Linked DNA regions of Lonchura striata. The protein of the gene in region 2 purifies or fractionates together with the protein of the main gene of each other region. This does not show direct contact. Links are inferred from orthologs where the notes say so. Each region holds a gene or a part of one and is shown on either strand. Other genes may lie near its edges.

Region 1 (6,822 bases), on a different chromosome or scaffold from region 2:
TCACTCTGGGCACAGGATCCCTGGGTCACTCTGGGCACAGGATCCCTGGTCAGTGTGGGCACAGGATCCCTGGGTCACTCTGGGCACAGGATCCCTGGTCACTCTGGGCACAGGATCCCTGGTCAGTGTGGGCACAGGATCCCTGGTCACTCTGGGCACAGGATCCCTGGTCAGTGTGGGCACAGGATCCCTGGTCAGTGTGGGCACAGGATCCCTGGTCAGTGTGGGCACAGGATCCCTGGTCAGTGTGGGCACAGGATCCCTGGTCACTCTGGGCACAGGATCCCTGGGTCACTCTGGGCACAGGATCCCTGGTCAGTGTGGGCACAGGATCCCTGGTCAGTGTGGGCACAGGATCCCTGGTCAGTGTGGGCACAGGATCCCTGGTCAGTGTGGGCACAGGATCCCTGGTCAGTGTGGGCACAGGATCCCTGGTCAGTGTGGGCACAGGATCCCTGGTCAGTGTGGGCACAGGATCCCTGGGTCAGTGTGGGCACAGGATCCCTGGTCAGTGTGGGCACAGGATCCCTGGTCACTCTGGGCACAGGATCCCTGGTCAGTGTGGGCACAGGATCCCTGGGTCAGTGTGGGCACAGGATCCCTGGTCACTCTGGGCACAGGATCCCTGGTCAGTGTGGGCACAGGATCCCTGGGTCACTCTGGGCACAGGATCCCTGGTCACTCTGGGCACAGGATCCCTGGGTCACTCTGGGCACAGGATCCCTGGTCAGTGTGGGCACAGGATCCCTGGGTCAGTGTGGGCACAGGATCCCTGGTCAGTGTGGGCACAGGATCCCTGGTCACTCTGGGCACAGGATCCCTGGGTCACTCTGGGCACAGGATCCCTGGTCAGTGTGGGCACAGGATCCCTGGGTCACTCTGGGCACAGGATCCCTGGTCACTCTGGGCACAGGATCCCTGGTCAGTGTGGGCACAGGATCCCTGGTCAGTGTGGGCACAGGATCCCTGGTCACTCTGGGCACAGGATCCCTGGGTCACTCTGGGCACAGGATCCCTGGTCACTCTGGGCACAGGATCCCTGGTCACTCTGGGCACAGGATCCCTGGGTCACTCTGGGCACAGGATCCCTGGTCAGTGTGGGCACAGGATCCCTGGTCAGTGTGGGCACAGGATCCCTGGGTCACTCTGGGCACAGGATCCCTGGTCAGTGTGGGCACAGGATCCCTGGGTCACTCTGGGCACAGGATCCCTGGTCACTCTGGGCACAGGATCCCTGGTCACTCTGGGCACAGGATCCCTGGTCAGTGTGGGCACAGGATCCCTGGTCACTCTGGGCACAGGATCCCTGGGTCACTCTGGGCACAGGATCCCTGGTCAGTGTGGGCACAGGATCCCTGGGTCACTCTGGGCACAGGATCCCTGGGTCACTCTGGGCACAGGATCCCTGGTCAGTGTGGGCACAGGATCCCTGGTCACTCTGGGCACAGGATCCCTGGGTCACTCTGGGCACAGGATCCCTGGTCAGTGTGGGCACAGGATCCCTGGTCAGTGTGGGCACAGGATCCCTGGGTCACTCTGGGCACAGGATCCCTGGGTCACTCTGGGCACAGGATCCCTGGTCACTCTGGGCACAGGATCCCTGGGTCACTCTGGGCACAGGATCCCTGGTCAGTGTGGGCACAGGATCCCTGGTCAGTGTGGGCACAGGATCCCTGGGTCACTCTGGGCACAGGATCCCTGGTCAGTGTGGGCACAGGATCCCTGGGTCACTCTGGGCACAGGATCCCTGGTCACTCTGGGCACAGGATCCCTGGTCACTCTGGGCACAGGATCCCTGGTCAGTGTGGGCACAGGATCCCTGGTCACTCTGGGCACAGGATCCCTGGGTCACTCTGGGCACAGGATCCCTGGTCAGTGTGGGCACAGGATCCCTGGGTCACTCTGGGCACAGGATCCCTGGGTCACTCTGGGCACAGGATCCCTGGTCAGTGTGGGCACAGGATCCCTGGTCACTCTGGGCACAGGATCCCTGGGTCACTCTGGGCACAGGATCCCTGGTCAGTGTGGGCACAGGATCCCTGGTCAGTGTGGGCACAGGATCCCTGGGTCACTCTGGGCACAGGATCCCTGGGTCACTCTGGGCACAGGATCCCTGGTCAGTGTGGGCACAGGATCCCTGGTCACTCTGGGCACAGGATCCCTGGGTCACTCTGGGCACAGGATCCCTGGTCACTCTGGGCACAGGATCCCTGGTCACTCTGGGCACAGGATCCCTGGGTCACTCTGGGCACAGGATCCCTGGTCAGTGTGGGCACAGGATCCCTGGTCAGTGTGGGCACAGGATCCCTGGTCAGTGTGGGCACAGGATCCCTGGTCAGTGTGGGCACAGGATCCCTGGGTCACTCTGGGCACAGGATCCCTGGTCAGTGTGGGCACAGGATCCCTGGGTCACTCTGGGCACAGGATCCCTGGTCACTCTGGGCACAGGATCCCTGGGTCACTCTGGGCACAGGATCCCTGGGTCACTCTGGGCACAGGATCCCTGGTCAGTGTGGGCACAGGATCCCTGGGTCACTCTGGGCACAGGATCCCTGGGTCGCTCTCCACTCTGCGCTGCTCGCTGTGTCTGCTCGCCCGTTCCCTTCCCACATCCCAAACTTTGTTCCGGGCCGGGCGGTGTTTCCCCGGCCCAGCGCGGTGTCCCGGCTCCGGCCCCGGGGCCGTCCCGCGGGGAGCCGGGCCGGTGCCGCGGTTCGGGGAAGGGTCCCGGGCGCGGGCCCGGCCGGTCCGGCCTTACCTGGGCGCGGCCGCCGAGGGGGCGCGGGCAGGCCGGGGCCTCCGGCCCGGGCGCGGCGGCGGCGGCTCGGGGCAGCCCCGGCGCCGCTGCCGCTGCCGAGGTGTCGGTGCCGGTGCGGTGCCGGTGCTGTGCCGGTGCTGTGCCCGTGCCCGTGCCCGTGTCCCGCTCGCTCCGGTCGCTTTCGCCGCCGCCGCTGGTCCCGACACGTCCGGGCCGCTGCCACCGCGCATGCGCCACATCCGGGTCCCGCCGCGCCTGCGCCACATCCGGGTCCCGCCGCGCATGCGCCACATCCGGGTCCCGCCGCGCATGCGCCACATCCGGGCCCCGTGGCGCATCCGCCATATCCGGGTCCCGCCGCGCATGCGCCACATCCGGGTCCCGCCGCGCATGCGCCACATCCGGGTCCCGCCGCGCATCCGCCACATCCGGGTCCCGCGGCGCCTGCGCGGGCGGGCGCGTTGTGTTTGTGGTTGGCGGGCGGCGCGCCGCGGGGAGAGCGGAGCGGGCGGGCTGCGCTCCGGGGAACCGGGATTTCGCTGCATCCCACGGGATATCACGGGATCCCACTGCATCCCACGGGATATCACGGGATCCCACTGCATCCCACGGGATATCAAGGGATTCCACTGCATCCCACTGGATTCCACAGCATCCCACAGCAATCCACAGCATCCCACTGGATTCCACAGGGTCCAGCTGGGTCCCACTGGATCCCGCTGCATCCCACGGGATCTCACAGGATCCCACAGCATCCCACGGGAACCCCCAGCATCCCACTGTATCACACAGCGTCACTATGGATCCCATGGAATCCCACGGGATCCCAATGGAGCCCCCATCATTATGCTGGATCCCACAGCATCCCACGGGATCCCAGAGTGTCCCACGGGATCCCACTGGATCCCACAGCATCCCACGGGATGCAGGATGCGGGATAGCCCCAGGGAACCAGGAGTGCGGGCAGCATCCCTTCCCCACCCTGGCAGCACCCCCGAGCTCTGCGGGACACGGACCCTCCCTGGGCACTCCAGGGATGGGATCCAACCCTCCCTGGGCAGTTCCAGTTCCTGAGCCCCCTTCCATGGGGAAATTCCTGCTGGTTCCACCCTGAGCTGCCCTGGCCCAGCCTGAGGCCGTTCCCTCTCCTCCTGTCCCTGTTCCCTGGGAACAGATCACAAATCCCCCCCGGCTGTCCCCTCCTGTCAGGAGCTGTGCAGAGCCACAAGGTCCCCCTGAGCCTCCTTTGCTCCAGGCTCAGCCCCTTCCCAGCTCCCTCAGGAACTCTCCAGCCCCTTCCCAGCTCCCTCAGGAACTCTCCAGCCCCTTCCCAGCTCCTCAGGAACTCTCCAGCCCCTTCCCAGCTCCTCAGGAACTCTCCATTCCCTTCCCAGCTCCTCAGGAACTCTCCATTCCCTTCCCAGCTCCTCAGGAACTCTCCATTCCCTTCCCAGCTCCTCAGGAACTCTCCATTCCCTTCCCAGCTCCTCAGGAACTCTCCAGCCCCTTCCCAGCTCCTCAGGAACTCTCCCAGAATTTGGCACTCGCAGCCCTGCCCGCAGCTCTGCCTCCCCTCTCCTCATCTCCCCAGGCCAGCTCGGCTGGAAAGGAAAAGCTGTTTTAGAACTGAAGCCTTGGACATTCCTGCCCTCGCAGTGTGGAGCTGGCATTGGACACAGGGCAGGATGTGCTGTGCCCCCGGAAAAATGCGATGTGCTTTTCCTGAGTCCAACAGGATTTTGGCAAGGCACTGGCGCGCTGTCACAGCCGCCCTAATGAGAACCAAGAATAATGGGAATTTTAAAAAATTGTTGTGTTGCCCTGTCAAAACTTTTCCTGCTCTTGCTGTTCAGTCATTTACAGTCACTTCCACACGCTGAAGGCCTTAGGTTGAAAAGCAATATATAATACTGCTGCATTTGTCATCCCTAGGTGTAATTGCAGCCTCTCCGCACCAGGATTCGCCGGGTGAGGCACAAATTACCTTTTCCTGGAGGAATTCTGGCTGGGAGATGAGATCTCCAGCCCAAGGCGGTGTCCCACACCGGGCACTCGTGGCCCTGCCGCCTTGGCCAGCCCCACAGCAGCACCCCGCGTGCCAGGGGCGGGTTGAATTAGCACTAATTAAAGAGATAACGAGCACAGCCCCTTCTGCCTGCAGCCACCTGCACCCTCAGCCAAGGAGATCTCCTCACACCCAGCGGAAGTGCTGGGGTTTGTGTGGTGAACCTGGCAGTGCCACCCTGAACTCAGCTCTTGGAGAGGCCTTGTGAGCTTGGGGACAATGTCGGGGCTGGTTTTCATTGCAGGAGCTGCAGGGCCGCTGCATCGGGGCTGGGTGCCGTGCAGAACCACCCCTGCAGCACAAGCGTTGCATCGCATCCCAGCTCTCGGGGCTCTGGCAGCGGAGGTGACCCCGAGAATTCCAAAATTCCTTTCTTCCAGCCCACCCAGCCGAAGCAGGAGTGGGAATGCATAGGGTTGGTTTCTCGAGGTTGTTAATTCTCTATTATCTGCAGCGTTCTTTCTCAAGGAGCTGCGCTCTGTCCAGCAGGTCACTGTGCACAGAATCCGCCCTTGGGATGGTGTTTACATTCTACACCAAAAACTACCTCTTACAATAATGTAAACATAGTTTGTAGTACCTATGATTTATGTTGGACAGTTTGTCTGTACCTTAAACCAACAGAAAAGTGTCACCAGCACAGCAAGACATGGAGGGCAAGGAGAAGGAGAAGGAGAAGAGAAGGAGAAGGAGAAGGAGAAGGAGAAGGAGAAGGAGAAGGAGAAGGAGAAGGAGAAGGAGAAGGAGAAGGAGAAGGAGAAGGAGAAGGAGAAGGGAAGGAGAAGGAGAAGGGAAGGAGAAGGAGAAGGAGAAGGAGAAGGAGAAGGAGAAGGAGAAGGAGAAGGAGAAGGAGAAGGAGAAGGAGAAGGAGAAGGAGAAGGAGAAGAGAAGGAGAAGGAGAAGAGAAGGAGAAGGAGAAGAGAAGGAGAAGGAGAAGGAGAAGGAGAAGGAGAAGGAGAAGGAGAAGGGAAGGAGAAGGAGAAGGAGAAGGAGAAGGAGAAGGAGAAGGAGAAGGGAAGGAGAAGGAGAAGGAGAAGGAGAAGGAGAAGGGAAGGAGAAGGAGAAGGAGGAGAAGAGAAGGAGAAGGAGAAGGAGAAGGAGAAGGAGAAGAAGGAGAAGAGAAGAAGAAGGAGAAGGAGAAGGAGAAGGAGAAGGAGAAGGAGAAGGAGAAGGAGAAGGAGAAGGAGAAGGAGAAGGAGAAGGAGAAGGAGAAGGAGAAGGAGAAGGAGAAGGAGAAGGAGGAGAAGAGGAGAAGGAGAAGGAGAAGGAGAAGGAGAAGGAGAAGGAGAAGGAGAAGGAGGAGAAGAGGAGAAGGAGAAGGAGAAGGAGAAGGAGAAGGAGAAGGAGAAGGAGAAGGAGAAGGAGAAGGAGAAGGAGAAGGAGAAGGAGAAGAAGAGAAGGAGAAGGAGAAGAAGGAGAAGGAGAAGGAAAAGGAGAAGGAGAAGAAGGAGAAGAGAAGAAGAAGGAGAAGGAGAAGGAGAAGGAGGAGAAGGAGAAGGCCAGGACATGCTCAAATCCCTCCATCTTGTCCCCTTGAACCCCACTGGAAAACCCCCAAAATTCTACTTTTTCACCCTGTGTTAATTCAACCACCACGCCACTCAAACCCTTGTGGCTTGTAACTCCTCACACAGAGTTGGCAGCTTTTTCCATGGGCTAAAATCAAAGCCACGGGTGTTTTTGTCTTGTGCCAGGGTCTGGGGACAGCCAGGGCAGCCAGAGGGGTGAGCTGGGCTCTGGCAGTGCCCCGGAGCACCCTGTGTTTATAAACACCTCTGTTCCAAAGCCACTGCCCCGAGCTGCCCATCGCCGTGTTCCTATTGTTAATAACAACAATAATGAATTTAATTATGAACACAAATTAATAATTCGCCATTCATAACACAAAATGCGCTCAGCTGTCCCCGTGGCTCCGCGCCAATCCTCGGATTTCAGGGAGAGCTGGGCCAGCCCTGCCGGCTCGGCAGGACGCACATTTCTGGAACCAAAACCACGCCAG
Region 2 (7,814 bases):
TCTTGCTTTCTTGCTACATTACAGAAACTGGGAAAGAATGTGATATAATACCAGCCAGCTCTCATTACTGCTGAAGGAATGTGCCATGATTAAACCTATATACAGAAAGAAATGGAATGTAATTCTTAAATGTTGATTTGCTTTGAACACATTCCACATGCCAAGGAATGAGTTTCCAGTATAGTCTTCCATTTCTAAAGATGGGGAGGACACCACCTCTACAAAATTAACTACAACCATCCTCTTCTGAAAATGACACTACTTAGTTAAAGATGTTTGTACACATTTCCTGGCATCCAAAACCACTAAATCCTTTGAGAACTACATGTGAAACAAAATTCTTCTCCTAAGAAGAATTTACCTCTTGGTAAATTCAAGAAATCAAAGCCCTTTTTTCTGTAGTCACGGAACAGAAGAAATTTTTGTATTTCTAAATATTTATTCAAAAGTGTCACTCATATAACACCAATACCACTGATAGGATATCATAATAATACCAACTATTACATTATTTTCTCCATGTGGATTCTTCACCCTGTTGGTGTCCTAAAGATACCTGACCTTGCCCCTTCTCTACACATTTCTTCCAATCCGTTAGAGGGTGGCTCAGCTGTGAAGCTCTGGCTGAAGAAGGCTGGATTGGATTCCCAAATCCAGCAGCAAGGCTGTCATCCAAAATGATCTGCAGGGTGATGTGGATCCCAGCGAGCTGTCTCATCTTGAAAGGATGTGTTGTTCAGTGATACCAGCCTGCACTGGAGCATGGGGCTCTTGTCAGCAGCGCTGATGATACTTGCTTGTCTCTCTCACAGGATCAGCCCTGCACAGAGTGAAACCTCTGAAATGGAACTGTATAAAGATACAATTTCCTGCAAAATCTTGGCTTCTGAAAGCGAAAGGAGGATCAGTGAGAGATCGGTTCTGTTAATCTGAGAATATTTTGAGAATTTGGGGGATGGTACTGGCTCAGGAACCTCTGGATCATAACATTCCAGTGGGATTTCTTGGTTGGGAAAGCAGCACTTTCTACCACCAGGGACTGCCAGCATCTTTGCTCCCCTACACCACCGCAGTTCCTGGTGCTCTGCCTGGCTTCCCTTCATCTGCCTGCAGATCTTGCACTGGTTCCTCTTGAACATACTCGGTTTAAATCCTTCCTGGCAGTTCTACACAGTGAAGGGAACAGCGAGTGAAAATCCTCATTTCCCAACAGAACTGGGAGATAGGACAGGACACAAACAGCTGTGGGACAGCCAAGGCACAGCCCTGAGAAAGGAGGGTGCAGCAGTTGGCATCTGGTGCCTCTGTGTGTCCGAGGGCAGCCTGGTCCAGGGTGTTCTCCCCACCTTAGGGACAAGACCCAACTGGGACCCAGCCCTGCCAGGCTGATGGGAGCTGGAGCCCTTCTTCTCCCCCTGCTGAATACACACCTACTATACAGGACTGTCCCATGTGATGCACTTGGCATGTATTTATAAAAGTGCTCAAGTCATGTTGGTTGTTTAAAAATTAAGTAAATAAAATCAAATATGGCACATATTAAAGAAAAGTGTACAGCAGTAGCAGCCATCCTGCAGACTGTACATTTTATATGCTGACCCAAATGCAGTGTCAGTTAATGCTCTAACACTTGCAATATATCACAATGCTTTCACTGAAAGGTGAGCAGTGTGTCCAAAAACCTTAGAAAAATTTATAGTTCAGCAAGTTCCTTTCTGAAAAGCAGTTTGAAACCAAGTATGCTTCATGACCTTTAAAAAACACTTTTAATGAAAGAATTTAAATGTTCATATAACTACTGAACAATGAAAGTATATTTAATCCCAAAGGGTTTTTTAAATATTGGCATTTCAATTAATGTCTGACATACTAGTTATCCATTAGAAAAAGATCATGTAGAAAGAATTCTGTATTTAATATAACATTAGGCACTTTTGTCAAATTATATCAGAATTATTGAATGTTAGGTCCAAAGTGCACTGCAAGACCCCAGAAATGAATAATCATCATGTTAGGAAAAATTTAGAAATATGTTAAGTATGTGAAAAGTAGTTTTGTTTTTTTTTTTTTTTTTTCCTGTTCAGTTTAGCAGTGGCCAGTTAATGTTGCAATATTTGCAAACCATCAATGATTCCTCATTACAAGCTCAACAAAAGAGGCAGTGTAGTTGTGATCCAAACAGCCAGTTGCATTATATACTTGGTTTGAGAAAAGAGTATGTGAATTTGTAACAGACTGAAAATTTAATAGTATGACCTTCAATTATAAATGTTTAATTTTCTTCCTCTTTTTTTTTTTTTTAATGCAAGAATCAGGACACCTGGAATGTCTTTGGGGTGTGCATGAATTTACATAACCATTACAAAATAACTTCTTAACTGTTTCAGTGCAATGTAAAGTCATAAAATCCATAGGTGTATTGTCCATGTTTTGTAGTAAATGCTGCTTAGACTTTAATTGTTTCAAATTCTCTTCTTTTTAACCAGTGGCAAAGCACTGGAAAGATGTTTTATGCTTTATCTTGTGCTCTGCCTGTGCTGTGAAAGAGGTTGGTGTCTAACATTTGCTAGTTTTGTGTTAAACAGCTGATGGCACAGGGGACAGGCACAGCCCTGGCCAAAGAAGGGACCCCAGGATTCCTCTGTTCCCTGCTGAAGTGACACTGGAACAGCAGTGCCACCACTGCAGGAAGCACTGGAAATCTCCACCTTGCACTTCAGACACTTTGGGAGGAATAGGAAGTCAATCCCCACGTACAGCATAGGAGAGGTCACTTTTTATGGATGGAAAGCTTTAAGAACCACATTGCACTTCAAGGCCTTCAGTGGAAAAAAAAAATCAGTCGCACACCCCAGGTTTGAATTAACGAGGCTCAGACTCTGAGCTCTGTCAGGATGGGACCATTCAAGACATGGTTACAGCTCAGCTCCAAGCGACTGCAGAGAAAACCTCCTGGGCTGTGTAGGAGCCACAGGATGAACTCAGTGAAGCACAGGTCATCTTCTCATCCAATGCTGGGGATCCATAGCTGGATCCTCACCTCTGACTACCCACATGATAATACTTCACAGGTTACCTCAGCAGGAAGAAGCCAGAGCAGTGACATGACCAAACGAGTAGAGTCTTAGTAAGGTTGTTAGTAAGAGTAGGTGTGTGATGTATTAGCTTAAACTTCTAAAGTAATCTAGACTGTGGTAACGTTCATAGCTTTCCTGGGAGCTTGTCTCACCCTTGAGGCCCCTCTGGCCCTGCAGAAAGCTGCCTATTACTCTGATGGAGGTCTCCTCATGGGAAGTGTGTTGCAGAGCTGGGAAAACTCTGGAAAGGGTCACCTTTCCCACAGGGTGGGAGTTAAATTAGGCAACACGGCATGGATGCAAGGCTTTAAAAAAAAAAAAATATTATTATTCTGCACATGGCAGTTCACAGAGCTCAACTGCTGATTTCTACACAGTGCAGATAAGAACCAAATTGGTCCAAAGTTTAACAGTTTCCAGGGCTGGTCTGTCACACCCTGTCCATGAGGAATATTGTCATGGATCGGCAGCACTCCTGCGTGGGACCACCCATTTCAGCCTGCCTCTGAATTCTCCTGCCATGTCTTTTCCCATTTGTACCCTCGGTTTTCCTGTCCCAACTCCCTACACAGCTTCTCTGCCACCCTCTCCTCCCCACCTTGGCTATTCACCCACATTCTTCCCGATCCCCAGCTCTCCCAGGCCATGGCCACTGTCCACATCCTTCCCAGTCCCCTACTTCCCCTCAGGCACAGCCATTCCCCACATCCTTCCCCATTTCCAGCCCTCCCAGGACACGGCCATCCCCCCATCCTTCCCGAGCCCCGCTCTCCCGGGACAGGTCCATCCCCCGCTCTCCCGGGACAGGTCCATCCCGCTCTCCCGGGACACGGCCATCCCGCTCTCCCGGGACAGGTCCATCCCGCTCTCCCGGGACAGGTCCATCCCCCGCTCTCCCGGGACAGGTCCATCCCCCGCTCTCCCGGGACAGGTCCATCCCGCTCTCCCGGGACAGGTCCATCCCCCGCTCTCCCGGGACAGGTCCATCCCCCGCTCTCCCGGGACAGGTCCATCCCCCGCTCTCCCGGGACAGGTCCATCCCCCGCTCTCCCGGGACAGGTCCATCCCGCTCTCCCGGGACAGGCCATCCCGCTCTCCCGGGACAGGTCCATCCCCCGCTCTCCCGGGACACGGCCATCCCGCTCTCCCAGGACAGGTCCATCCCGCTCTCCCGGGACAGGTCCATCCCCCGCTCTCCCGGGACAGGTCCATCCCCCGCTCTCCCGGGACACGGCCATCCCGCTCTCCCGGGACAGGTCCATCCCGCTCTCCCGGGACAGGTCCATCCCGCTCTCCCGGGACAGGTCCATCCCCCGCTCTCCCGGGACACGGCCATCCCGCTCTCCCGGGACAGGTCCATCCCGCTCTCCCGGGACACGGCCATTCCCCGCTCTCCCGGGACAGGTCCATCCCGCTCTCCCGGGACAGGTCCATCCCGCTCTCCCGGGACACGGCCATTCCCCCATCCTTGCCGAGCCCCGCTCTCCCGGGACAGGCCATCCCGCCGGCCTCCCGGCCAGCAGCGCCCGGCCGCCGCCGCCACCTGCCGCCGTTCCCCCGAGGCTGACCCGAGGCGGGGCGCGGGGGGCGGGCAGGGCCTCCCCGGGGCAGGAGGGAGGGACGGAGGGAGAGCAGAGGAGCCGAGCTCGCCGCCAGCCCGCCCGTCCGTGCGGCTCCGTCCCGGCTTTGTTGTGCTCGGGCCCGGGGGCGGGGAAGCGGAGGGAAGCGGAGGGAAGCGGGGAAGGCTCCGCTCCTCCTCCGCGGCCCCGGCCCCGCTCATGGCGACGCTGGGCACATCCGGGCCTCTCCTTCTCCTCCTCCTTCGGCGGCCGCCGCTGCCCTGAGCGCCCGGCCCGGCTCCATTCGCGCCTCCCCCGAGCCCTTGCGGAGCGGCGGCGGGGTGCCGCGGCCGGGGCCATGTCCAACCCGGGGGCCCGGCGGAACGGGCCCGTCAAGCTGCGGCTGACAGGTGAGGCTGGGCCGGGGCCGCGGGCCAGCCCGGGCGGGGGGCGGCAGCGGCTCCTCCGGGTGTCGTTGGGGCTGAGCCTGGGGCCGGAGCGGCCCCTCGGGCCTCGCAGGGAAGGGGAGGGCGAGGTTTCCCTGCCGTCCGTTCCCCTCGGCCCCGGGCTCGGCGTGTCCGGGCTCCGCCGCCCGCCCGGCCCGGGCCCCGCAGCCGCCTGGGGGAACTTCAGCCACCGCGCCCCAGCCTTGCAGTGTATTTTCCCTTCGTCTTCTCGGTGTAAACTCGAAAGAAACTGCCACGCTTTTTGTTTCGATCTCGTTGTTTGTTTATTGTTGTTGTTTTGTTGGGGTTTTTAAGCGATTTCCTCGGCTAAGGCTGTTGGGCACTGGAGAGGCTCCCAGGGCAGTGCTCAGAGCCCCAAGGCTGGCAGAGCTCAGGGAGCCTTTGGTCAACATTCTCAGGGACAGGGAGGGATTTTGGGGTGTCCTGTGCAGGGCCAGGAGCTGGGCTCGATCATCCTGGTGGGTCCCTTCCAACTCAGCATATTCTGTGATTGTTCACAGTTCTTGGGTGAACTGCCTTGTCCTGCCCTACTCCAGACCACTTGACCTCTGATATTTTAAAATACCATAAAAACGGTTCACCTGCATGCTGGGAAGGAAAAGAATCTGGTCTTAAATACTTAAAATTATGCCCTTTTCCATATAAAACCCCACGTAAACAGGTTTAGAGGAAAAAAAATACTGGAAATTCTGCTTGAGCTTTCTTTAAAAAAATTCAGGACACTTGAATCTAGCTCTTTTCTTCAAAGTATTGTTAAGTCCTCCAGCACATAAATGACACTGTGTGTCCTGAAGCATCAGTACACAAAGGTAAGCAATTAGAAGAGTATAGCTTTTCACTGTAAATATCCACCTTTATATAGTGTTTCTAAGCAGCTTGCAAAAGAAATATTTTTTTAAATATTAGAAGAGTTGTTATATTTACTTAAGGTGTGTGAGAAATATCTCCAGTTTAATACCTAATAAAGAGAGGTGTTTTCATACTGATCTTTCCAAGTATGTTATTTTCACAGAAAAAGTAAAATGTATCTGCTTCTGTTTTACTTTGGAATAACTTGGACTAGATTTGTTATCTAGTTTTCATGGAGATTCGTGAGTGTCTCTATATTACACTTGGAAATAAAACTCCTAAAATGAGCGTAGCTGGGACTGCTGCATGGAACAGTGCTGCCTTGTTTTTACTGAGTGTTTTGTAGCTTTCTCCTCAGGTTATTGCTGTATTGATGCAGTGCTTTAATACTTTCTTTCCCTGAGCAGTGAGTGCTCAGACTTGCTTATCTTTGAAACATAAAAAATGGTCTGTAACCTTATTTAAAATAATGGAAAATACTGTCTAGGGACTTGTCTTTCTCACCTCTGTGTTTTGTGTTCAAATTCATTTCATATTTTATTTTTATTGAGGAATAAGCATATAATGAAACTGTGCCTGTGACAATCTCAGTGTGGTGAGGGGAGTGTGATTGTGACCAGAAGCACGCTGTGGTTTTACGCACTGTGGTCAGCCCCCAAATGCAGCAGGTACAACCCTAAGGAATGTTTTTGTGTTTTTTGGGCATCTTGTATTTTGGGAAGGGAAAGTGCAGAGTATGGGATGAAGGCAAAAGTGTCTTTTTAGGACTGTTCCAGGGCTAGCAGCTCTGGCAGGCACTGAGTACCAGTTCCATTATTGGAAGCTTATAGGAAACATTGGCCTGTGTCTCCAGCTGAACAGCTTGAGGTATTTTCTGCTTTAGCTAATGGGGAGTTGTTTCACCTAAGGTCATTTGTTGTAAGGAAGCTTTACATGTTTAAGGAAAACAATGAATTTTATTAATTCAGCTGACATGTTGTCAGTTCTTGCCTAGGAATAGTTGTAAGTGTTCTGTGTGGTTTTGATTATTCTTTTTGATTGGAAAAGCAGTTTGGGGGCTCTTGAGTTCTAAAACTGTTTGGAATTAAAAGAATCTGTATATCCAGTGTTTCTAAAAGTTTATTCTCAAACTGACAAATGCTATTTAATCTTAATTTTCTTTGGCTCTATGAAACTAGCAGTCTTCTGTTTTGGCTTGAATGTTTATGGGATTAATTCTGCAATCATTGTTCAACGCTTATCTTTTCTGTTCAGTATCTCTAAATTAAATGGTATAGATTAAAAAATAGATTTCAAGAACTGGATTCAATTAGCAGTTTTTCAGGACATAAACATTAAAGGTTTAGATGGAAAACATTGTTTTGACTGACTGGATAAATGACAGGGTAATGTTTGATGTGAGTCCAAGAACTGATCTGGAGCTAGTGCCCAACTTCTCAGTCCATCTTGAGGAGCCAAATAAAATATTTAACCTAGGCCTCATTTTGCAAAAAAGGTTGACTCTTTGTTGAGACCTTAAGAAAGTTCTGAGAAATGTTTGGCATACCTTTACACTAAGTGTTTAACAGTTTATTTAGGTCTGGGTTCCACAACAGAGAAAAACCACAGCGGTGGCATACTTCTAGTAAGTTTTTATTTAGTTTACAGTGTATCTGTGTTATATATTTATTTAAAAAGTTTATTCTTTAGCAAAGGTTTGGCTGTTTGTTGCAAATAATTTTTAAAATCCAGGTGTCATGGCTTCTGATGATACTTCTAGCAGGAGGTGTAAATCCTTGTTTTTGATTAAAATATAGGCAGTATAATTTAAATTAGCTAAATTCCAGAATTGCACTAGTTTTCTGCGAAATTTATCTTAACAG
Region 3 (7,932 bases), on a different chromosome or scaffold from region 2:
GGTTATTTACGCATTCACCATAAACACAGAGCAAGCCAATTCGAGGAAGCTTAGAAATGGTTGATTTGCATTATAGCTAAAAGTCAGAGATCGTGTGAACAGCAGTACCCTGAGAATCTAGTACTAATTTGAATAATATTTCAAAACCTTATTTTGATAAGCGTCATTCAGAAGATTTGTGCAGAAAGCTTTACTGAGATAAATGTCGAAGATAACATTATTATTCTTGTTGCCTCTGATGTACGCAGCAGTTGATAACAAGACGATTTCCTTTTTCTGACGGATGATTACACACAACAGATGTTTTAATTTGATTATATCTATGAGATAAGGATAAATGCTGTGTTAAGTCCAAACACATTTTATAAGTTTTTCAAAACATTTTACAATGAATGTAACCTTTTGTAAATGTCCTTGCTTGAGGCTGCATGTGTTCTCACAATGGTGCAAATTATCAATAACGAGTTGAAACCAGTGATTATATGAAAGAAGAAAACTACATTTAACAGTAGCTGTAATTCTGTGCTCTATGATAACCTAAATTAAGAGAGAAATATTATTCGAATGGTGATACAGGGCACAACCGTTTCAAACTGCTCCAAAGAGGACAATGTGTTCTTCAGCCAATGATACACAAGACATCCTTTTATCAAGGATTCTGAAAGGATAATGCTCCATGCCAAGCACCCTCATTTTGAAAATTAGCAGGCAAATGCCAGTTTTGTGAATGCAGCACTGCAGTGAACAGAGTTTTTATCATTTGAGTTTCAAATTATATAGGCTTACAAAATTTGACTTTGATTTGAACTGAAATGCCAAAATTTGTCTGGAAAATAAACTTTTTGCTTAAGTGCAGTGAAATCAAAGTGTCAGATGTTGTTCCATTGTTCTTTTTTTTATACATAACATGGTGAGAACAAAAAAAAAATTCAAACTAATAGTCTGTTTCAAAACAAAACACAATCTGTATCACAACAAAAACATCAAAATGGGGCATGTCAGTGGTTCAAGCAGATTTCCTATTTTTATTTTGAAAGTAGTTATGACACAACATGTCCAGAGTCATCAGTGTTTTTAGTTGGGTCAAGATACTTATTCCAGTTACTTCATTAATAGTTTCAGTAAGGCAATATCAGCATCCTATGTACCTGTTTGCCTTGTGTCATTCCAAAAAATCACAGGCATTAACTCCAATGGCTGCCAACAGGTAAAGCACCTTGTAGCTTACTTTATGTGATGTATACAATTCAAAGAGTATTTTCTTTAGGATTCATGTCATCTAACATCAGTTACCTAACAAATAGATGTCTGGGCTAATTACGCTCCCTCTCATCAGCTCATTAAAATATCTAGACTCCTTTCCCTCCTTGGATGACCAAGGGAATGTGGGTGACCTAATAGCCTGCTGCCACCATAATGGCAATTCTGTTAATCCAGCATTTGTCCTCCATCCTTTGGTTATTGAACCTGATCTGGGACTATCCCATCACAGTGAAACAAACAGGACTGCTCCATCAGATTGTGAGAAAGGCAATGGGTTTTCACAGCCATCTCCTGGAACTTCAGTCCAAGGCTAACTTTTAGGCAGCAAAGTAAGTTGAGATGTCTTTTCCCACACCATAAATATCAGCTCTACACAGACATGAATATTATGTCATGCTAGTGCAACTGTATAGGCCTTACTTAATTCTGCTTTCGGGAACTATCTTGTTCTTGGATTCTTACATAAAACAACACTGGAGTTAATAAACCAATCAAAATAATTGCTTTATTGTGGACATCAGCAGCTTGTGGCTGTGAGCAGAATGGTTTTGAATGGAGTGTATGTTAAGTACAGTGAAACAACAGCTTTTTAGTAACAATGCATCTTTTGTAGATGCTTGAAAGTGTTTTTCTGTGAGGATAATGCTGTAGTTCACATGGGATTTTGACAGAAATAAGATACCGAAAGCTAGAAAATACTTAGACTAACAAAGAGACATCATTTATACTTGGTAGTTTTGTGGACTGTTTTAAAAGCCATACTTAAGACGTGCAGCAAAGAGCAGTTAGCATGTTTTCACTAGGAGACCCTGAAGTACAAGAGGTTATAAATTGCTTGTGCTCTCAGTATATATTTGAAAGGCTCAGAAAGAAAACACAATATTCAGTGCTTTGATATTTTGCCTTTTTGAGTGAGGAACTGAAAGTAGCTGTCTTACCTTACCCAGTCAGGCTGGAGATTATTATTTACACCTTTAATCTCCCACTCCTTGAAGAGGACTCTTTCTCTACCTCAATCAGGCTGAGGTTAAATACTCACAGTTTCAATCAAAAAGAAACTGCTATCTGAAAACAGGGAACTGGGAGCTATGAACAAGGAAATGGAAAGAAATTACCATTACAATTGTTTCATATATTTTGGTTGTCCAGGGAGTCCTGATTAAACTGCATTTGGGTCCTAACAGGGAGGTTTGTAGTACTCAAAAAGGCAAAATATGAGTTTTCACTAATAAGCCTGTCTGGGATAAATCTGTGAAGCAAAGTTGGCTTTACTTCAACTTCCACACAGGCTACTAGTGGCAATGATACTACTCTTCCCCTGAGCATATCCAGGTAAAATTTCCTTCCACTTTCTAGTAACATCTCTCACTCTCATGGATTCTCTGAACATCCAAAGCGCAGCTGTAGCACAATCCTCACTGCACGGTGTATCTGTAAAAATAAATGTAGTACTTACATGGAAATAGCAAATTCCTGAAGTCCACTTGTACTAGACTCCTCACTTGCTGGGTAACAGGTGCCATATCACCTCATGTGAGAGAAGGGCCAGTGATGCCTGGCTGCACCCAAGGATTTGAGACTATTGGAAACCTAAGTGCAGCCCTTCCCAAAGCCTCCATCTACTGCAAGCCCCTCACCTACTGCCAGACCCTGGATGAGAGAGACTGGGCAGAATATGGCTATATTGGAGAAGAGCCATAGCACTTATGTGAGGGAGAGAGATGCAAGTGACACAGAGTCAGGCTTGCAAAGTCACACCTGATTTGTGACAGGTTTGAATAGTAATACTAAATCTGTACTTATTTGCTTTTAAACTTGTTTTTTATGTTGGAAGGTAGTCACCAAAAACTAACAGGAGAGTTCAGCACACAGAGCCAACTTTCTAAGCAAATAGCAGCTCTTTGGCACCTGCAACTTGACAGCTCTGAGGAGAGAGAAGTGTACAGCATGCAGTATATACTTGTGTGAGTTGAGAAATGCTTTTGTTTAAGTGGATACTGAAAACACAGTCACATTCTAGCACATAGCTGGTGGACAGGAACTGATAAGAACACTCCCGTCTGTGCTCAAAGGGGAGTCTGCAACTTTTCTTATCTCTGGAGGGTGGCGACCACCACCTGTTTGAGTGAATCTTGACTATATAAAAAGAGGATGAGGGAGAGGAAAATGCTCTTGGAGAGAGGTTTATGAGACTTTGTACCATAAACTGAGACTTCATGGTGAAAATATGTATTTAGGGATTGTTTAAAACTAAGTTTACATAAAAGCACAATGATTTTTTTAAAATGTCTGTTACAGGCCAATTAAATTCTTTACGCAAACATTTCCAAATTCAAGCATTTCCAAATTCAAACAGAGTAAAACAGAGATGATCTGGGACATCCAGAGCATAATTACATCTATTCCCCCTGAGGGCTTAGCCCTCTTTCTGAAATACCCAGATCTGTATCTCTAACTAGTGTTGTAACCAAGACAAAAGCGAATCACCAACGTTGGAACAATCGCCCTCAAATTATCCCCATGTGCATCAGTTTACCCTTCAATCAATGCCCAGCCATTTAACTCGGAGAGGAAGGAAGACTGTGAGCTGGAAATGGTTCTCAATACAACTGCTGGCTACGCAGTGGCTGGATTTATACTGGCAGGGAGCTCAAGCTTTATTCAGATTCAAAACTGAATGGTTCTTACAGTCTCTGACAGGGCCATGAAAAGCTGGAATCACTGGCGTGGTCCTACTTTCTGAATCATAGGTGCAATTCCCTCTTGCAGAAAAGGCAAAATATCTGGTAGAAGTTCCTTTGGAGAGGGATGGAGACGAACTTAATTTGTGTCACCTACACAGGATTGGAGATAAAGTAATGTACAACCAGCCTATTTGGAAGCAAAATAAGCAGCAGGTGACAAGTTGTTCCAGTCAGCTCCAACATCTGGAAGCTGAGTGCCCAGCTAGTCTATGTGAATATTTCCTGCTGTTACCCTGACTTCAACCTCCCCGGCTCCCTGTTTTAGTTCATCTGGGGGTTACGTCCTTCTTTCTGATACTGCTGCTGCAGCATCGTTAAGGTCAGGGATACGGATGCGAGGAGGAGCTCTGCAAAGTCCCCATGTCCTAGATGACACGTCTGGGTCCTTTTCAACTCGCAGGGAGCGAGTAGTACCCCTCCGAGCTGGTGGTTTCCTGTCGACCTTGAGCCTCCTCGCAAGCCACGGTGCAGCTCCGGGCGGGTGGCTGTGCCCGGTCCCCGCCTCGGAGGGAGGCAGGCGCAGGGATCCAGCTGCACGTCGGGGCTGGCCCCGACGCGCTTGTGGTGGGAGAGCCAGACCTGAGAGGGGCTGGCCTCTGGCAGATGATTGACACCAAGCTGGGTGAGGTTTCATGTTAAAAAGAAAAAAAAAAAAAAAAAAGAAAGAAAAAGGAAAGAAAAAAGGGCGAGAGCAGGGGAGGGGGTGACTGTGGGAAGGGGGAGAAGGAACTACTGTAAGAGTAAGAAAGTCCTGCCCAGCTGTTTGCGAAGTTTAAGATTTCCTGTTTCCCCTGCAGCGCCGAAGTGAAGTTTCAGTGAGTCACCCTCGGTCCCGAGCAGCGGAGCGGCGCGGCCCCGCTCCCCGCCAGCCCCGCCACCGCCGCCGCGGCCTCCCCGCCGCCCCCGCGCCCTGCCCGCGGCTCGCCGGCCGCGCCGATCCGGCTCCGCGATGACTCCCCGGCTGCCGAGCAGCCTGCGGCGGCTGCTGCTGCGCCTCTCCCTCTGGGCGCTGATGGGCAGCTCGGTCCCCGCTCTGCTCCGGGGTAAGTGCGCGCCGGCCCGCGCTGCCGCTTGACAGCTGCTGGGGCCGGGACAAGCGGCGAGGGACAGGCGGGAGGCGGGGGACACGGCTGCTGAGAAAGTTTTGAAGCTGGAAACATTTCGGGAGGGGGTGAGCGTGTTTGTGGATGGCCCTGCGGGAGAGTAAGCGGGGAAGAAAGGACTGGGAATCTCGGGGTTTCGCGGCCGAAGCTGAGATCCGTCCGTGGAGGGAACAGCGGGGAGAAAGGAGCGGATTTGGCAGGAAATCGGCGGGGTCTGCTCGGGCCGGAGGAGCCCGGAGAGGGCATCTGGAGCCTGCCTGCGGTGGCCGGGGAAGGGCTGCAGGCCCTGCCCGCAGCTGATGCGGCGGCTCCGCACCTGGTGGCGGCCCCGTGCGCGGGGACGGGCCGGGGGCGCGGGCCGGGAACCCGCGGCCCCTTCGCAGCGCTCCGGCCCCGGCGCCGCCGCTCCGCTGGGCACCGCTGTCCTGCACCGCCGCGGCCACGGCTGGAGGTGCCTCGGGGGGCTCTCAGAGCGTGGCCACAGAGCCCGCTGCCGTGGGTCTGCACTTGGTCACCAAAACCTGGGGTTCCTGAGTTCCTGAGAAGAGCGGAGTTTAGCCGTGCCTGTGAGCAGTTGGACTGAAAAGCACTCATTCCTCTAGCACCGACTGCGGATGTTGTTTGACTCACTTTAAAAGTGACACTTTGTAATCTTTACCCTGCTTCTAGCAAGACATCCTTAGATAGGTTTTTGGGGTCTGCGGCTTGCAGTATTCTTCCTATCATAATTTATAATATACTATGAGCTTAAAGTTCTGCTGGAAAAAACAAGATTCCTGCTCGGAGCAGCTTTCCGTCTCTGTTCTACTAGCAGTTACCCACATCTGTGAATTAACATCTGTAATATCAAGGTTAGGCCCTAAATCACGTTGCAGAACAAGTGGTGAACCTAAAAGGAGAACAGGAGATTGTAGCAAATGCATCTGAAACACTTGTGAAGAATTAAGTAGCTTTCTAAGATGTCTTGTAATGGCACATCTAGTTTTAGTCTTCAGGTAAGGTGTGCAGACACCTGGGCTTCTACAAACTTTTCCCTGGGCCCTCTGATTTTCCTGTCTGGTCCCTTCATGGTCAGTAGTTGATCCCAAATTTTGGCTGAAACATAATAACATGAAGCGGATGACTCTTCAACAGCTACTGCCTTTAGCTATGTGCAGTTCTTTGACTAACTTCATGCTTCATTAACAGCCCTGTCACAGTCAACAGGTTGTGCATACCTGCAAAGTTACTCATGAAAGCTTAGGGCAAAAGAAAAGAACAGGGTATGAATGACACTATGGTGTCCCACAGCTGTAAGTTATATTAAATTTGAGGTGTGTAGCTTCTTGTTAATTTTATATATATATATATTCTATAATTCTTCATTAACATAAACCATACGCAACTTGTGATGGCCTTTATTTTGACCACAGCCTCAAACTTTTGCAGATTCCCATCACAAAAAACTTTAATGGAGAAGCTCAGCTTTTGTTAATCTTGTGTTATTTATTATTATACTTTTTTATACTCAATCAGCTATAGACAGTCTCAAACTATGGGTAGATTTTTTAAAGTGGGCATGGCTCAAGAGTTTGCTCTTCTTTCTTGTCATAGGTTCAGTGAGGAAAAAGAACACAAACTGGTTACAGTTCCAGCATTTTTCATACTCATCTTCATCTACACCCTAAAATAAAAAAAACTGAGTAGACCTGTTTTCAGATAATCTATCCCACAGCTCCAAAAGCTGTTTTGATAAACACTGTAGGATTCGACTGTGCAATAGAATTCTATTATGACAGGAAGAGCTGATCAGAAAGCAACAGTTCTGTGGAGCAGAAAGTGTGAGGTTTGGATGTCGGTAGTTATTTGGCACCAGAATAAAAATTAGAGCTGCCAAATGCTTGGGGGAAAACAAAACAGGAAAAAAAATAGTTATTTATTTTGTAAGAATTCATCAGTGTAGTAAAGCTGGAAAAAAAAGGACATATATCAGTCTCGGAAGAGCTCAGTTCCCAGGTGTGCCTACTAACTAACCAGATGGCTGGATAAAAAAGCACTAGCTACAATTTCATTTTAACATTCTTCACAGCAAAATAGACAAGACACATTCCCATAAAGATTTTGGAGAAACCCACAAATTCATGAAGAGGTTCAATAGGAATTATGAAAAAGAAAACTGTCATGGTCTGTACTACACAGAAGTAATTGACTTTTTTGCATAGAGTAAAGGGGCAAGGTGTGATTTTTTTGGAATGATTTTGAATGATTTATTGATCATTTTATCCATTAATGTCAGTGTAGAACAGCAGTTGTCCGTGTAAGAATTTTGTGTTAGTGTGTTCAAGTGAATATGAATTTGTAGTTTGTCTTTGGGTTATTGTAACCAGAAATTTGTTCCTTGGAATCATCCATGCAATAACTGTTCGTCTCTGAACATCAGGAACTTAATTTCTCCATTCAGCCAAGCTCTATTTGCATTACTGCTATTTTTTTGAAAGCCATATCAGAGGTAGTTAATTTTATAGTATGAAAATCAAATTTAGAGCTTCAGATGTTTGCAAAAGGGAAGTAGGAGAGCAAACATCTTGTAACGGGATGGAACATGCTTGTAACAGGATTGAGTCTAAAATGCATTCCTACCCCCCAGTAAAACTGGCATTTTTCCAGGTATTTCAGGAGGGAAGTAGGGATATATTAGAGATGATATTGAAATTTCTTCTATTTATGGGGTATCCTTGAATTGTGAGACTTTTATACCTAAGACTTTGAAAAACACTTTTGTTTACTTGCTATTTTTAATATTTAATTGGCATTAACATGCTTCTTTAATACTCAGGTGGTGA
Region 4 (7,084 bases), on a different chromosome or scaffold from region 2:
TTGAAGCCAAAACGTCACCAGAAAGCAGAACTTCATCAGAAGAGCAATCACAATTCTTGGTTCCATAAGATGCAGAGTTTCGAGGGAATAAAGGAGCAAGGCTATTATGTGCAAGAGACAAAACCACATTTTTAGGGATATGAGCAAAAGGGTTTCATGCTCACTGGTAGCTCTTTCCCTGTCCAATAACACTTGCCAAAGGAAAAAAAGAATAATACATAACAGTGCAAATGTCAGCTTCTGAGTCTAATTCAGACAATCGCCTCAAACAATACACCTGACTCATCTCTGAACTCTTTTAGCTCAAGATACAAAAAGGTTTCAATCTTAAAATATCTGGGACATAGGTACAGTTTTTAAAATCACAATACTTTATGGCCTCCACTAACACATTCTTCTCACAAAGGCAATAATTAAAAGTTTCACTGTTGTAACAGCACCGGGTATCAAGTTTTCAGGAAAACTTTCACATAGATTTCATCCATCTTCCTTCTTGCAAACAGCAGGTCTTGTCAAACAAAGTGATGCACTCAAGAAAACAGATAAATTACTATTAAGTACCCACAACTTGTAAATAGCGATAAAATCTTGTGTAAAATCCCAACTTCACAAAAGTGATATTATATTCTGTGCAATGTAGGAGCCAAATGGCACTTTTAGTTTTCTTGACATCTATCAAAAACACTACCCAGAGATATATGTTCATGCCTCTTAGAGCATAATACAGTAACAATTTGTTTCTTCTCTGGTAGAAGAATAAGCTTTAAAAAAACCCAAACTAACAGAAGAAAGCTAAATTTAAAAGCCCAGATCATAATTTTACAAGCATTATGACAACAGAAGGATCTTTATTTGTACTTTTAAATTTATTCCACCATATTAATCAGATTGTTATCTTTATTTGCAGTTAGAAGCAATTGTCTGAATTCAAGAATTTTCAAGTGGTGACTCCCCAGAACTTCAGAAGACTAAAGACTATGGCGTACACAGTGAAAACCAGAAAGCCTATTTTCAGACTCTGTCTTAAAAATTAAGGCTGTTCAACTGTTCAGCTAGCTGCTGGGATTCATTACATACCTGACCTCCATATAAACCGTATCACAAGATGACTCATCCACACAGTAACACCAGCACATTGCAGAACAGCCCCAGCAGAGGCAACCAGAAATTGCCCAACTTCTGTCAACTCACAGTAAGAAGTACCAGTACCCAAATCATACCTTGAACTACTCTATCAACTTAGACCATAATGTTCAGGCAAATTACCTGCCTCACCCATACCAGGGCCTCTGGATGAGCTATGGATCATGAATCCTGGATTTCTTCCAATTCCATTGAACAGAGAGGATTTATCTTTTATTAAACAAAAGGTAGCACACCATCACTTCCACCCATAAGGTTTTGTATGGAAGTCTGTTGCCTTGTTTTCACACAAAGCTTTTAGACCTTAATTTCATGCTTCAGATTAAGGGAAAACTGTTGGATTGATGGGAGGCATTAAAAGGGAAAAAGTTCAAAGCTCAAATTGAACTAAAATTTCCTTCAACTACTAAATTGAATGTGTTACATAAGAAAGCTTTAAATTATTAAAGCCTGCCGCACCTTTTCAAGAACATAAGAACAACCCATGGGTAACTTAAGCTTATTTCAGTGTTTCCACATCAGAGATCTTGCATCGCCTTCAGTAAGAATATGTGTGATTAACACTACATGTTAATACAGCAAGTGATGCTTTAAGTAGCTTTTTTTTCACCATGACTACCATTTTAGATTGAATTATATACAGCATGGTATAGATCCAGACTGAGGGATTTCTTAAAGCTGTAACCGAAAAAGTTGTGGTGCTTCTCCACTTCCTTTTTAAAATCCAAAGCAATATACAATCCATTAGGCCATATGTCCCAAACTGCTAACCGCAGAACAACCTGCACATTCAAAAAAAAAAAAAAAAAAACAAAACGAAAAAAGAAAACCACCCAAATCTTCCATTTATGAATGCTGTCAAGCACTCCCAATGTTTCTTGCACTAGCTCTGCAACAGCATAGTCTGATATCAAATCTCTCGCAAAAAAGCACAGGTACAGGAGACTGGAGAACACAACCGTTTCGCTGTACAACATTCACCCGAAGATTTCATTTCCACACGGCTCGACCCGCACCGAGCACACAGGCGAGGGCGTGCTGGACCAAAAGTTCGCCTGTCCCCCCAGCACCGTGACAGCAGCACACGGTGCTGCAGCGCGCAGCACAGCGGGGGCAGCCCCCTGTCACCTCCGCGACGTGGGACATTCAACACGTCTCTGCCCCGCCGCTCCTCCCGGGCACCACTACGAGCGCCCTGCGGCGGCCCGGGGGCTGCCGCTCCCGCCGCTGCCGGGCACCCCGCCCGGGAGCTCCCAGGAGCTGGCGGACAGATAGACAGGGGAGCTCCGGCAGCTCCAGGAGCCTCAGCTGCCTTCGCGGGCCAAGGCCACACGCACCCCCCCGGGCGGACATCAGGATAGAAAGTTAACGCGGGCAGACATCGCCCGAAGCGCTGCTCAGCCGGGCCGAGGAAGTAGCGGCGGGGCCCGAGGGGACCCTTCCCGCCGCCCCTCCCGCGGAGCCGCCGCCGCTCTCGGCCAACAAAGGGCCGAGCGGTCCCCGCCGGGCTCGGACACCGGGGGTGGGGGGAAGGTGACTCCGCCCCAGCCGGCCCCTCCGCCATGTTGTTGAAAGGAACCGGCGGGGATCCGCCGCCCCCCGCCGATCTCCCCACGCACCCCCACACGCCGCTCCGGACACCACCGCCGCGCCCGCCGCCTCTCTCCGCTCCCGCGCCCCCCTGCGCACTCACCGCCCACCGCGGGGCAGAGCAGCGAGGCCGCAGCCAGGCACAGCAGGGCCCAGGGACGCCGCCGAGTAGCCGCTGCCATGTCCTGGCCGCGACTCCCCGGAGCCGGGATCCGCCTCGCGACGCGCGCCCGCTCCGCCCGCCCAGGGACCGGCGCGGCGCCCGCGCTGCGTGCGCCCTCCCGGCCCGCTCCGGCCGCGAATGCCGCCGACGCGGCGGCGGCGGCGCCGCCTGATTGGTCGCTGCGCCCCGGCCCCGCCCCGCGGCGGCCGCGGGCAGCCCCGACAACAACAGGCGGCGGGAGCGGGGCGCGACCTGCGCGGCGGCGGCGCGGGGCGGGGCGGTGGCACCCCCTCCCGGCGGGTGAGAACGGCAGAGCGGCCGCTCTGTCCCCTCGATGCCGCTCCCGAAGGGGCTCGAGCGGGCTTGGAGTTTCCCTGCGTCCGGGTGCTGCGAGAGCGCTCGGGTTAGCGGCTGAGGCGCTGCCAGCAGCGAGGAGGGAGCGCTGGCAGCGCTGCACTGCGCGGAGTCCCGGGAGCATCGGCTCCGATGGAAGGCAGGTGCGGGGGCCTGTGGGCAGCCCTCGAGTTGCCTCCGGAGAGGAGGAAAGCAGCGGGAGCGGAGGAATTGCTCCTCCTGGGAGGCGCTGCGAGTGGGCAGGCGGAGCGTGCGGAGCCCCGGGCGGTCGCGGCGGGGCCGCAGCGCAGGGGCAGCTCCCGCTCCTTGCCCGCGGCACGGGACCGCCCGGCGCTCCCGCGGCAGCCCCGCGGCCGCTCCGCCGTCCCGCAGCGGAGGGTTTTCCCTCGCCTCAGCGGCAGTCTCAGCGCTCAGCTCACAGGCTTTGTCCCCGTGCGAGGGAAGAGCGGTGCCAGGCGACAGGTGTAGCTGCCAGCTTATTGCACAGCCTGCGCTTAACTTCAGGAGTTAACTGGGAATCGCAGACTCGTGCAGTCCGAATACCCGTCGGAGGTACACCTTGAATCTTAAATCCTGGGGCAACTAGGATGTACCTCGTGAGGAAAATGACCGTGACTGAGGTTGTTACTTCTATCCACCACTTTATTAGCTTTGCATGGGTGGCAGAGTAGGAGGAGAGGCTCTCTTCTTCCCTCTTGGGATCAGGTAACGATTCTCCCAGCAGTTACCTGATTGCTCTGGGAATCCGCCCCCTCCCCCCCCCCTCGCCCCCCCCGCTCAAATATCTGACTGTTGTGTCCAGACCCTGAATCAGTTCAGAATCTCTCAGCATATGCCTTTATACTCCTTTTGTTGCTTATTTTGCATGGAGTGTGACCCTCCCGTCATAGGCAAAGTCACAAAGATCACAGGTGTTCTTCCACATTACTTGCAGTTGCTCTTGCAAGCCCCGTGCCCTGTCTTTGCCAAATGGTGCCTTCCCAGCTTGCAGTGCTCAGGACAGCACCCTTCCCACTCTCCAGGACCACATTCACTGTCACGGCACACTGATCTGCTGCCTCCATTTTACTAGCAGTTGTTCAGCCAATACTGCTTTTATAAAAAAGTCTTGTTTCTCCTACAGTACACTTCACCTGGGTAAGAATTTTGATGTCATAGTTCAAAGTGAGGTAAATATTTATTAATTAATTCTCTTTCTGTTTCTCTTTGAACAATGATCAGTGTCATGCATAAACATATCCTAGTTATATTTTCTCTCACAAAATAACATTTTAATGACATGCACTTAATGTCAGATGTTGAACCAAATGTCTGGATTTCATATAGATTCATGCTGTAATGAACTACTGAAGCTGACAACACCAGGCAAACATGTTCTTAGTTATCCATACATAGAAATATGTAGAGGGCTGATCCTCAACTAAATGTATTAGCGTCAGAAAGAAACACTGAAGCACTCAGTTAAATTTCTCAAATCCTGAGACATCTTTTAAATTCATATTGAGCATTGAAACTATAAATTAAGAAAATTATGCTCAGGGGAAAAAAATCTACTATTCATTTCCCCATTGCAGATCTCCTGGGTTTAGGGATGGGTCACAGACTATATCTCTGAAGGAAGGCAGAGACCAGTAAGCAGAGCATGCTGAAGGATTTCTTTTCAGGGCTCCAAGTTCAGTTCTATGTGGAACATTTTGAATTAACATCCTGAGTGACATTTGGCTGACAGACACAGAAAAATTAAAATAAATCAATAACTTGCTGGTATCAACTCACCAGCTAAGATGGATTCAGGTCCAATAGTGCCAACTACAAAGGAGTTTTTTTTTGCCAGGCTTCACTCTTCTTCCATATCACTCATGAGGTAAAGACCACTACAGAAGAAATACCTAAAATTATGTCATCCCCTGTCCTGAAGCCTGGGTACCTCTCTCTGATCTTATGTATGCTAGATGTAAAAGCCAAAGTAAATGTGGACAGAAGCATAGCTACCAAAATGGGTTCTGCATGTCCAGAATCTCCCCGTTTCTCGCTATTTTTCCACATATCCAGGTTCTTAGGACTGCCTCTTCTGGTCTTGATTAAGGCGGGGTCCAAGAACTTCTGATTATGATACAGACTCTTGATATTCAATGGGCTCTGGTAGACATTTGGGTCTTGTTCTTGTTGGTACCTTCCCCTGTTAGCTCCCCCTTATCACTGTAAGATTCATCCTGGTGTTTTTCCATCATCTTTCTTCTGCTGTTACTCCTGCTGTAAGTTCCCCTTTTCCAATATTTAGGTCTTCCCCTTCCTTCTTATGAGCTTCATAACTGCTTTTGGTGCAGCAGGAGCTTTGCTCATCTGGGCAGTACCTGGCTTCTTTAGGGGGGGCTATAGGAGAGGTACTTGGATTCACTGGTTGAGATGCAAAGTAATTCATGTCACATGCCCTGTTTGGTAACAACAAAATTACCTTTGTTTTTGCTATAAAAATAGAGCAATTAAATAAAAACGACAATATAAAAATGATGACCTGAAAATATTTAATTCATTGGTTCCTCCCTATGTCTGCAAACAAATTGAATGCCAGTCCAAAGGTAGTGAGGACATCTTGATGCTTGCATCTTACGATTTTCATCCTCTAAACATGCTAGTTAGTCAAGTGGGGCTAAGTCAGAAAATGACACAATCAGTGAAACAGTTTCAATATATGCTTTCCTATAAAGTGACATTTTGTTTAAGAAGAAAATAACTGTTCTATGATCACAGATTCTTCAAAATTGCAATAATTGCTTGGCCTTTTCCTGCCAAAGCATGAAAAAACTATTTCACAGTACAAATCTGCCAAGTTCAATAGAAAACAATGCATGACCATTGTATGGTTACGACATTTTAACTGGATGAATTAAATATAATTTTTCAGTATTTCCTGTAAAGGAACGCTTAAAAGAACTTCTTACGAACTGCAATCCTCAGTGCTTACTGAGGATGGAAATAATGTCATCAGTGGACATAAATTTAAAAGAACAGGCAACCCCCCCATTTTTCCTAGCCTCATTTTTCTAATAAATGAATGATTTCATAACATAATTATATTCCAATTATAGAAATATGCAGCAATAATAATAATTTTTTTTAATGCAAGGTAGAACACAAAGCAAGGTGACACAGAAAAACCAAACTATCTGGATTTATGAGATTTGTTTAAATCATCAGATTGGTTTTTAGACTGAGTAAATCAGGTTATTACACAGCGAATATCTGCAATTTAAACACTGATTAATTTCTTTCTTCTGTACTAGAATGTGACAGTCATACACATGCGCAGCACCCACAGGGAGAGAGAATGAAATAATTAATCTTTACCTAGGGCTGCTTTTATTTTCTGCAAGAATTATTGTCAGTGTACGAACACTTCTTATGGTTTTATTTTCTCTTCTGGAAGATGGAAAACAAAATAATTGCAACTGCATGAATGTTTCAAATGGAACTCTGTACTACTGGAACTCTGTACTCCACAAAGAAAAAAACTATGTAGGGCATTGAAATAAAAGACATTTTGGAAAGGAGCAAGTGGATAGAGAGACAATTATACAAACCAATTTGTTCTATAGGTTAGTCTTTGAGAAAGATTTATAATATGAATATAATGATTTAGTTCCAAAAATGGGAACCAATAAATATTTTTTCCCTTAGGTCTTAAAGTAAAAATATATGGAATTGTGATAGGAAATAATATTAATGGTGATGACTAAAAGTTTTATTTGTCTTTTGGTTTAGAAGGTACTGTATCAGGCTAATAAATAATCTTTCTCTCACAAACAGTGTATGCACAATTAGTCCTAAAGCAAT

Evidence for each region.
Region 1: the proteins of SMURF2 (region 2) and SMAD4 purify together in Homo sapiens (affinity purification with western blotting; 3 studies listed by BioGRID). This does not show direct contact. The link is inferred for Lonchura striata from reciprocal best matches to the Homo sapiens genes SMURF2 and SMAD4.
Region 3: the proteins of SMURF2 (region 2) and TGFBR2 purify together in Homo sapiens (affinity purification with western blotting; 3 studies listed by BioGRID). This does not show direct contact. The link is inferred for Lonchura striata from reciprocal best matches to the Homo sapiens genes SMURF2 and TGFBR2.
Region 4: the proteins of SMURF2 (region 2) and TGFBR1 purify together in Homo sapiens (affinity purification with western blotting; 8 studies listed by BioGRID). This does not show direct contact. The link is inferred for Lonchura striata from reciprocal best matches to the Homo sapiens genes SMURF2 and TGFBR1.

Annotation. Positions count from the first base shown.
Region 1 is NC_134642.1:1,015,983-1,022,804, forward strand, and holds the start of SMAD4 (mothers against decapentaplegic homolog 4), read right to left. Parts: upstream 3,013-6,822; 5' UTR 2,759-3,012; intron 1-2,758. UniProt on the Homo sapiens protein: In muscle physiology, plays a central role in the balance between atrophy and hypertrophy. When recruited by MSTN, promotes atrophy response via phosphorylated SMAD2/4.
Region 2 is NC_134621.1:8,494,040-8,501,853, reverse strand, and holds the start of SMURF2 (E3 ubiquitin-protein ligase SMURF2), read left to right. Parts: upstream 1-4,804; 5' UTR 4,805-4,994; coding exon 4,995-5,046; intron 5,047-7,814. UniProt on the Homo sapiens protein: E3 ubiquitin-protein ligase which accepts ubiquitin from an E2 ubiquitin-conjugating enzyme in the form of a thioester and then directly transfers the ubiquitin to targeted substrates.
Region 3 is NC_134603.1:116,137,438-116,145,369, reverse strand, and holds the start of TGFBR2 (TGF-beta receptor type-2), read left to right. Parts: upstream 1-4,912; 5' UTR 4,913-4,956; coding exon 4,957-5,050; intron 5,051-7,932. UniProt on the Homo sapiens protein: Transmembrane serine/threonine kinase forming with the TGF-beta type I serine/threonine kinase receptor, TGFBR1, the non-promiscuous receptor for the TGF-beta cytokines TGFB1, TGFB2 and TGFB3.
Region 4 is NC_134603.1:84,465,616-84,472,699, reverse strand, and holds the start of TGFBR1 (TGF-beta receptor type-1), read right to left. Parts: upstream 3,002-7,084; 5' UTR 2,916-3,001; coding exon 2,837-2,915; intron 1-2,836. UniProt on the Homo sapiens protein: Transmembrane serine/threonine kinase forming with the TGF-beta type II serine/threonine kinase receptor, TGFBR2, the non-promiscuous receptor for the TGF-beta cytokines TGFB1, TGFB2 and TGFB3.